Linked DNA regions of Tribolium castaneum. The protein of the gene in region 1 purifies or fractionates together with the protein of each later gene. This does not show direct contact. Links are inferred from orthologs where the notes say so. Each region holds a gene or a part of one and is shown in the gene's direction. Other genes may lie near its edges. The genes, in order: tum and protein FAM98A.

Region 1 (3,564 bases):
CCGAAATCTTGTCAAAAATAAGCCAAAAAAAAAGTACTAGCAGAATTGTATAATTTTTATCTGTTTCATCCGTTTGGGCGCGTGTTTTAACTACAAACTTTAATTATTTGAAAAAAAATTGTGTCGAAAATTGTATTATTTTTGCCCCTTATGAGATAACTGATTCAGATTTTCGCGAGAATTTTCGACATAAGATCCATATTTTGTCTTATCCGAGGTTTTAAACACGCTTTTGAGATTAGGCTAAATTGTGATGAAACGTTACTAACTCAAAAATAATCCGGAAAATAACAAAATTTGGAATGTTAATTTTGTATTTAGCGGACGTTTATAGACGTTTTTAAAGAGTTTTTTGTTATGTAGGTGTAGAGTCTTTGTGTGTTTTAAGCACGTGTTTAAATTGAAAACTTCATTTTGAAATGGAGCATAGGCTTATTAATATTAATATTTTCAATAATATAAAGTCGCCCTGATTCTGTGAGATTATATGGTGATCATAAAATTAGTCTATTATGTGAAATGTAACCGATACCCTATTGAAAAGAAACCCCAGTGGTAAATTATTCTAGCAACTTTTCTAGCAACACCCTTGTCAAAGGGTCCAGGACGGAACTCAAAATAATTTGAGACCGCACAAATTAAATTTGTTTTATATTAAACAATGATAAAATGTTGGCACCTGATAATTTTCATGCTTGCAATCTGGTTTTACAGCAGTAATTATTTTCTTTTCTTAAGTGCTTAAGTGAATTTTGAAAACATTAGGGAAATTATTTGGAGCCGGACCTGGCCGGTGAAAGCAACCAGTCTAGGAGAAGTCAGTTTTTGCAAGGGCGCGTAGGTCTTAATACCTGCACAATAGATGATCCTTAGTAGTGGTAATGAAGTTTATTGTGGTTGTATAATCTTACAAGATCAGGGTTACTATAATAGTATATTATTATATGTGTTTTATAAGACGTTCTCTTGTAGCACGAATGGTTTTGGAGCACGACGAAGGGGTGTTCCAATAGAATGAGTGCCACAATTAAAACTTATAAAACGAGTGCAGTACTATTTTTTCTACTTTCTATTTTTGTTGTTTGTTTTTGTTTAGTTTAACTTATCAAAATCTGTTTAAACTGTTTCCTCTTATTTTTGTTAATTATTCGGGCTTTATGATAAGCGACTTGACCCAGCCACCCAGCCCAGCAATGCCAATACAACTTCTAAAAATTTACTAAAAGGAGTTCACAAGTTCTCTTTGTGAAACTACTTTCAGTTTGTTTGAACAATTTGTGAAACCAAAGTCGAAAAACATATTTTTGTGTTCATTTTTATACTGTTAATATGCTTGTTTTTTGGGATTAGATTGGAGCTGCTGACACCGTTAGAGCAACCACTACTCTAACTCTTAACAAAGATGGTCCTATTACTGCTACGTCTATTATCGAGTCCGTCCCTAAAACTCCGGGAGCCCCAGAATCGGCCCATACGGTTGTATGTTTATATTTGTTTGCGTTTTTCTTAATAAAAAAATTTAGGCCGACTCATACCCCAGTGCCCCTCCAGCAAACCTTGTTTTTGAATCCTGGGCTCGTGAAAGTCCGCGCAAAACTCACCAGAAACTAGCCGGCAAAGAACATTGTTTTCAACAAAAAACTCTTGTAATGCCTGAAACTTGCACATCTTGCGATAAACGAATCCGCTTTGGTAGGAGCGCTTTTAAGTGCAAAGAATGCAAAGCTCTGTGTCATTTGGAATGCAAGAACAATCTTCCTTTGCCATGTATTCCTGTGGTGCATACACCAAATCAACGAAACGGATTGGTATGTTACTAGAAATTAAAAGTAACTCTTGTACTAATGTTAACTTATGAAGGGGGTTATTGGTGATTATACCCCAACAACTCCCCCCATGGTTCCAGCTATTCTTATCCACTGCATAAACGAAATTGAATTAAGAGGGCTCTCAGAAGTTGGCTTATACCGAGTTCCAGGCTCAGAACGTGATGTTAAGGCTTTGAAGGAACGGTTTCTGAAAGGCAAAGGGGCCCCATGTCTTAATCAAGTTGACATTCCTGTGATTTGTGGAACTGTCAAAGACTTTCTCAGGGGTTTACATGAACCAGTCATAACTTACGCCTTGTGGAAAAAATTTGTACAAGCTGTGAATGCTCAGGACCCACTTGACATCCAACCAGCTCTGTATCAAGCCATATCAGAGCTTCCACAACCAAACAGAGACACTCTCGCATATATGATTCTGCATCTTCAGAAGTAAAACAGACAATTACAAGTGGAACAAGTTTAGAAAATTTTATTTTTAGGGTGGCAGAGGCCAAAGAATGCAAAATGAATATCGGTAACCTTGCCAAAATTTTCGGACCGACTTTAGTTGGATACTCGTCCGATAATCCAAACCCGAATAATTTGCTGGATGAAATCGTTCAACATAATATGGTATGTTTTGTTCTATTGCAGGTTCAAGTTTGAGACAAGTAATTTTATTAGGTAATGGAACATTTGCTTAATATCCCATCTGATTACTGGTCTGGTTTTATCAACATCGAGCCGACTTATCAACGTGGAAAATTGCAGCAAACTCCAAGCACTGATTCATTATTGCGTCCTATAGCTCCTAAAGGACTTTTCACACCAGTGAGCGCTAACAGGTTGTTGTCTCATTATAACAAATGCCCCGAAGTTTTCTAATTATTATTATTTTGCAGAAGTTGTGCGAAAAAGAAGCAGAAGTATTTTCCTTCACCCAAGAATTTCCGATAAATTATTACTTATTAATAAGTTTTTTTACATTTTATACTGAAGAAATATTATTTTCTAAACTTTAGCATCTTTTATATGCCTTTTAAATATACCACTGTATATTGTCCAAGTTGATTGGATTGGTTATTTTCAAACTAAGTGGTGTAAAATATTTATGTAAAAACTAATTACGTTAAAATATACCATATTTTGGACTAAATTTGATTATTACTTTGAAGCACCTTTCATTCTTGTTACAAGCAACGAGCGGCTTTTGATAATGGCACCAACAAAAGAAATACGTCGCATAATAATACTAATAATTATAAATACCGGGTGCTCAAAAATCGGCGCACCAACTCAATGGAGTGTGATGGAGAACTGCTTACACATAAAGGTAAAAATAGTAAAAAAATTCTTTATATTAAAGTTATTGATAAATGACGAATTTTAAATAAATGATATGTGGCAACGTTGTCTAACAGTCGTGATCGCAATTGAATTTGATCAACAATAAAAATAAATTATTTTTCAAACGGTTTCCTAGGAAATCATTCCCAGTGTTGGCACATCTGCACATTGTGATTTTTTCGATGAATTCTAATTTTTTTAAATTGAAAAAACTGCTAAAGTCTGTTAGTAAATTTAAAAATAATTATTCATCGTTTTGTTAGGTAACTATTACTTAGTGCGAAACATAAAAACATTAAAAAATAATAAAAACTGAAGAAGTTAACAAAATAAATTTGTCGTTTCAGATTTTTTAAGATATAACTTTAGGAATTTTTTCAAGATTTTTTCGATGATCTACACATGCTTC
Region 2 (4,188 bases), about 12 Mb from region 1:
AAATTCTGGATGTTGGACTGGGTTTGTTCTAGAAATGAACACTGACCCGGGTTTACTTCAGTTAAAAACTCACTTCAATAACGCTGTTAATTTTTGTTCCCGCTTTAGGCAGTTATCTAAACGATTTATGACTCTGTTTCCACTTAAAAAATAAAGTAAGACTTTATCCTTTCTCTTGCTTTTTTCCGAGTGCAATAATTTAATTGCTTGCAATTGACTCAGATTTGTAACATGGGTGCCACAGCACATGTTACTGTCAATACCTTCAATGGTAACAACGCGGATGTCGCCCACGTGGTCTGCTGGTAGGTCGCGAGCGCTGCGGTACTAAAATAATTCATTTACACGACTAGGCATAAAAGTTGATTTTTTATGATTAATGTCTGACGATTTTACAAAAAATAAAAGAACATCGTACATTTTCTAGTTTCTCAGGGGGCGTATTTTCGTCGAAAATATTAACAACGACCGGCCGTTGATCCCTTATCAGTTCGTTACAAATGTTTTCAACGTGATCGATCTGTTCTTGGGTAATTTTCGGTATATCTTTAAACATAAATTATTCAGAGCGTTCAAACCAAAAAAAAAAATACCTAGTTCAATGTACGACACTTCTTCTCCCAAGTACCAGGAGATTGTATCAAAGTTAAATTCTCTGATTAAAACAGCAGAGATTAAATGTTGGCCTGAATGTTGCTGCATGTGATCCAGTCTGCGATTCCAGTCAATGATGCCTTTAACGTCATCACCGACATTGAGCGGTTTTTCGATGAAATGGACAGCTTTGTCGCCCCTTCGTATGACTTGGTACACGGGTTGGTCGTTCAAAAAACCGTGGTCACAGGGCTGCAATTTTTAGTCAAATGGGTTATTAAAATGTACCGTTTGTTCAATTAAATTTCTGATCAAAGTGACCTGGCACAATGTTGCTAACTTAATTTCAGTCACTAGGACCAGAAAATTAATTGAATATGTGCACGAAAAATTAAAAACCTGGCCGCCCCCTTCAGGAAATAGAACAGTGTTCTCCAGAATGACTTCATATCCATTGATTTTAACGTTTTTGCCGTCAACGGTTGCGTCAAACTCGCTTTTTTCGCATGAGACTACTTTTGAAGTAAACTACAAGTATTTTTAATGTAACAAGTTAAAATTTGTTGTTTGGTACCTCTTTCAAAAAGCTGTCTTCCTGGCACTTAAACACCATGTTAGAATTACCGATCACTTTACAAATTAGTAAATTTTTGAGCAACTCTTCCGTGCTCTGGTTTGACAGTATGGAATTAAATTTTTTGGGTGTTTTAAGTGGTGTTTCTTAAAAACATATAAATGTGCGACTTTAATATATAATATTAAATCTAATAATCTATAATCTTATCGTGTTGTTCAAATAAAATAAAACAAGTCATCGGGGCCCCCACAAAACACGTTGCGACTTACGTTACGTTTTGACATTTCGTATTACGTTACGTTAATACCTCACTGTAATTCTCAATTTTGTGAATTTCCTAGCATATTTAATTTTTAACAACTACTTCGCTACAACGCAAATTGAGTTTTTTAAACGTTTTCCCCATAATAAAAATTTTCAAAAAAAAAAAAGTAAAAAATGTTGCGTTATTTTACGTTGCGATATTTGACAGCTTGACCACTTGACATTTTCGCAAATTGGTTAGAAATTCAATAACCGGCTTCAATCTCTATATTAGTGCAAAAGTAAGACATAGTATTAATTAATACAATGGAACAGAAACTCTTAGACGGACTGAAGGACCTGGGGTAATTATTTCCCAACCAAAAATTTCCAGGTCTAACTTGCATTGCAGTTATTGTGGCCCCCTTCTCGAGAAGGCTAGTTTTGATTCTGCCCTGCAGGAGGGAGCAAAAAACGTGGAATTCACCAAGCTAGTCAGTTTTTTAACAAACGAGCTACGCGCATTGCTTAATATCGATGAGGAAGTCAATCCAATATCAGGCCCTGAAGATTCAGTATCGTTTGTTATGGAAGTTAGTTCTTTTCTGAAAGAATTGAGTGCGGTGGTTTTGTTGTATTTTGCCAATTTTTTCACATTTAATGGTTACAGACTGCCCCTACGTTGCCTTAACACAGGGCCATATTTCAGACCGTCTGGAAAGTCACCAAGACAAATTATTACTTTTAGACTATTTGGCTACTGAACTGATGGCCGCAAGAGTACTACAAGAGAAAAAGCCCGATAAAAAATTTGAGCTAAAACTGGTAAGTAAAACGAAACGCAATTTTCAAATTGTTGATAAAGTTTTGCAGCAAGAGACTGAAGAAGCTGCCAATATGAGGAAGATATTAATGACTCTGAGGTTTCATAAACCGCCCCCAAACATTACTATTCCACAGTTATTCCAAAAAGTTTGCCCAACTGTGCAAAGTATTGTTCAAAAAGTTGGAAGTGAATTAGTTGGAAAGCCTGCGTTTCAAGGAACACTTTCTGATAAGCAGTGGGAAACACTAAATGGGGTTCAGAAGGATTTGAACAATGAATATAAAATTAGAAGAGAGATGTTGCTAACAAGGCTGGATGTTACGATTCAGTCTTTTCAGGTGGGCACTAATTTTAACATTTGTTCCATTCTTATTTATTACTTCAAAACAAATTTCATTTGCAATCTATACATAAGTTTCATATTCAATTGTTGTTGCAGTGGTCTGATAAAACGAAAGGCAAAGATGAGTTATTTGAAAAAGTTTACACCGAAAAGCGGAAACGCCTGAAAACGGAACCGGAAGTTGAACTTGCTGATTTATTAGCCGCACGAGACGACATTGCAATTATCGAAAAGACAAGTAACTCGTCTGTGCGCAAAAACACAAAATCGTCACTAAATAAAGTCATTATTGGACAGGTAAAACCATGATTTTGTTTAAGAAAAAAACACCAAAGAAAACTTTTAGGTTCCTGATCGTGGAGGCCGAACCTCTGAGCAAGCGCCGCCCCCTCCGGAGATGCCCTCTTGGCAGCAGCGCACGCCGGGGCCCTCGGGGGGCGGTCGAGGAAGAGGCGGCGGTAACTTTTCCCGTAACGACAACAGACAGAACTATTCAAGAGATTCGGGGAGTTACGGTGGAAGTTACTCTGGTAATCAAGGTGGTTATGATAATTATAAAAGCGGCGGTCGCGGTTACGACAATTATAACCAGGGGCGCAGTTATGACAGTGCTGGAAGTTACGGTGGTGGTTATAACAACCCTGGTTATAATAACGAGAGACAGGGGAGTTACGGCGGCGGCCAAGGCAGTTATAACGATAATAAAAGTAGTTACGATAATAGGAATTTTGATAGTGCAGGTAGTTACTCCACGAGCTATGAACAAAATTCGAAAAGGCCGAAAACTTACGATTCCTTTCAACAAAATAGAACGACTTATGCTGATCAGTATGTGCAAGAGGAACAGCATAATCAGCAGTATCACGGGAGGGGGAATTACAGAGGGAGAGGCAGAGGACACTCGAATTACAACAGGGGAGGCAGGAATCACTATTAAAAATTGTGCTGTATCATTATTTGCAGTTATTTGAAACTAGCACTAACACTTGAAAGATTGCTAATGTATTTAAATATTTAATAAAAGTACTGAATCGATATTGAAGTTTGATTTTATAGTATTTCCATTTTCATCCAAAACAGTTTCTAGAACTGAAGAACTCACTTCCTAAAGCTAGTAAATTCAAAAAAAGGTAAAAATTAAATGCGCCATCTATGCAATAAAGCCAAAAGTAAATTAAAATTGTTAGTGTTGCCATCTATATGTTGGATGTAAAAGTACAATGCTACAGTAATCTGTAATGTTTTAATTGCCATCTATACGCTTTAAATTAAAGCTAAAATATAAAGTAACCTGTAAATTTAGCGCCATCTATTTATTTTTAATCTAAGCTTTAGTTAATAATAACCTGTAAAAATTAAAGAAAAGTGTCTTCTCTTGCCTTTCGGATTTATTAATATTTTGAACTTAAATATGGGACACTTTCTGTTGTCGTAGCGACTTGAAATTTTGCATGCTTACATAACTTTTGAAGCACTATTACGTCATGTACTTCGATTCCCGATTTAAAAATGTGCAGTGCTATCTCGGTTCCTGAGGGAGATACGGGAACGGGACCTAGCCTATTCGATAGCCCGGGAAAAATACTACGGGGCGGTAGGGGTTTT

The links.
Region 2: the proteins of tum (region 1) and protein FAM98A purify together in Homo sapiens (co-immunoprecipitation; 3 studies listed by BioGRID and IntAct, with this or other methods). This does not show direct contact. The link is inferred for Tribolium castaneum from reciprocal best matches to the Homo sapiens genes RACGAP1 and FAM98A.

What each region holds. Positions count from the first base shown.
Region 1 is NC_087394.1:20,766,383-20,769,946, reverse strand, and holds the end of tum (rac GTPase-activating protein 1), read left to right. Parts: intron 1-1,350; coding exon 1,351-1,476; intron 1,477-1,523; coding exon 1,524-1,808; intron 1,809-1,860; coding exon 1,861-2,258; intron 2,259-2,308; coding exon 2,309-2,441; intron 2,442-2,492; coding exon 2,493-2,653; intron 2,654-2,710; coding exon 2,711-2,765; 3' UTR 2,766-2,964; downstream 2,965-3,564.
Region 2 is NC_087394.1:32,799,346-32,803,533, reverse strand, and holds protein FAM98A, read left to right. Parts: upstream 1-1,608; 5' UTR 1,609-1,741; coding exon 1,742-1,779; intron 1,780-1,826; coding exon 1,827-2,032; intron 2,033-2,084; coding exon 2,085-2,578; intron 2,579-2,679; coding exon 2,680-2,880; intron 2,881-2,929; coding exon 2,930-3,520; 3' UTR 3,521-3,618; downstream 3,619-4,188. Other genes in the region: alanyl-tRNA editing protein Aarsd1, read right to left, coding at 1-28, 74-327, 419-546, 594-846, 994-1,122, 1,169-1,207. UniProt on the Homo sapiens protein: Positively stimulates PRMT1-induced protein arginine methylation. Involved in skeletal homeostasis. Positively regulates lysosome peripheral distribution and ruffled border formation in osteoclasts.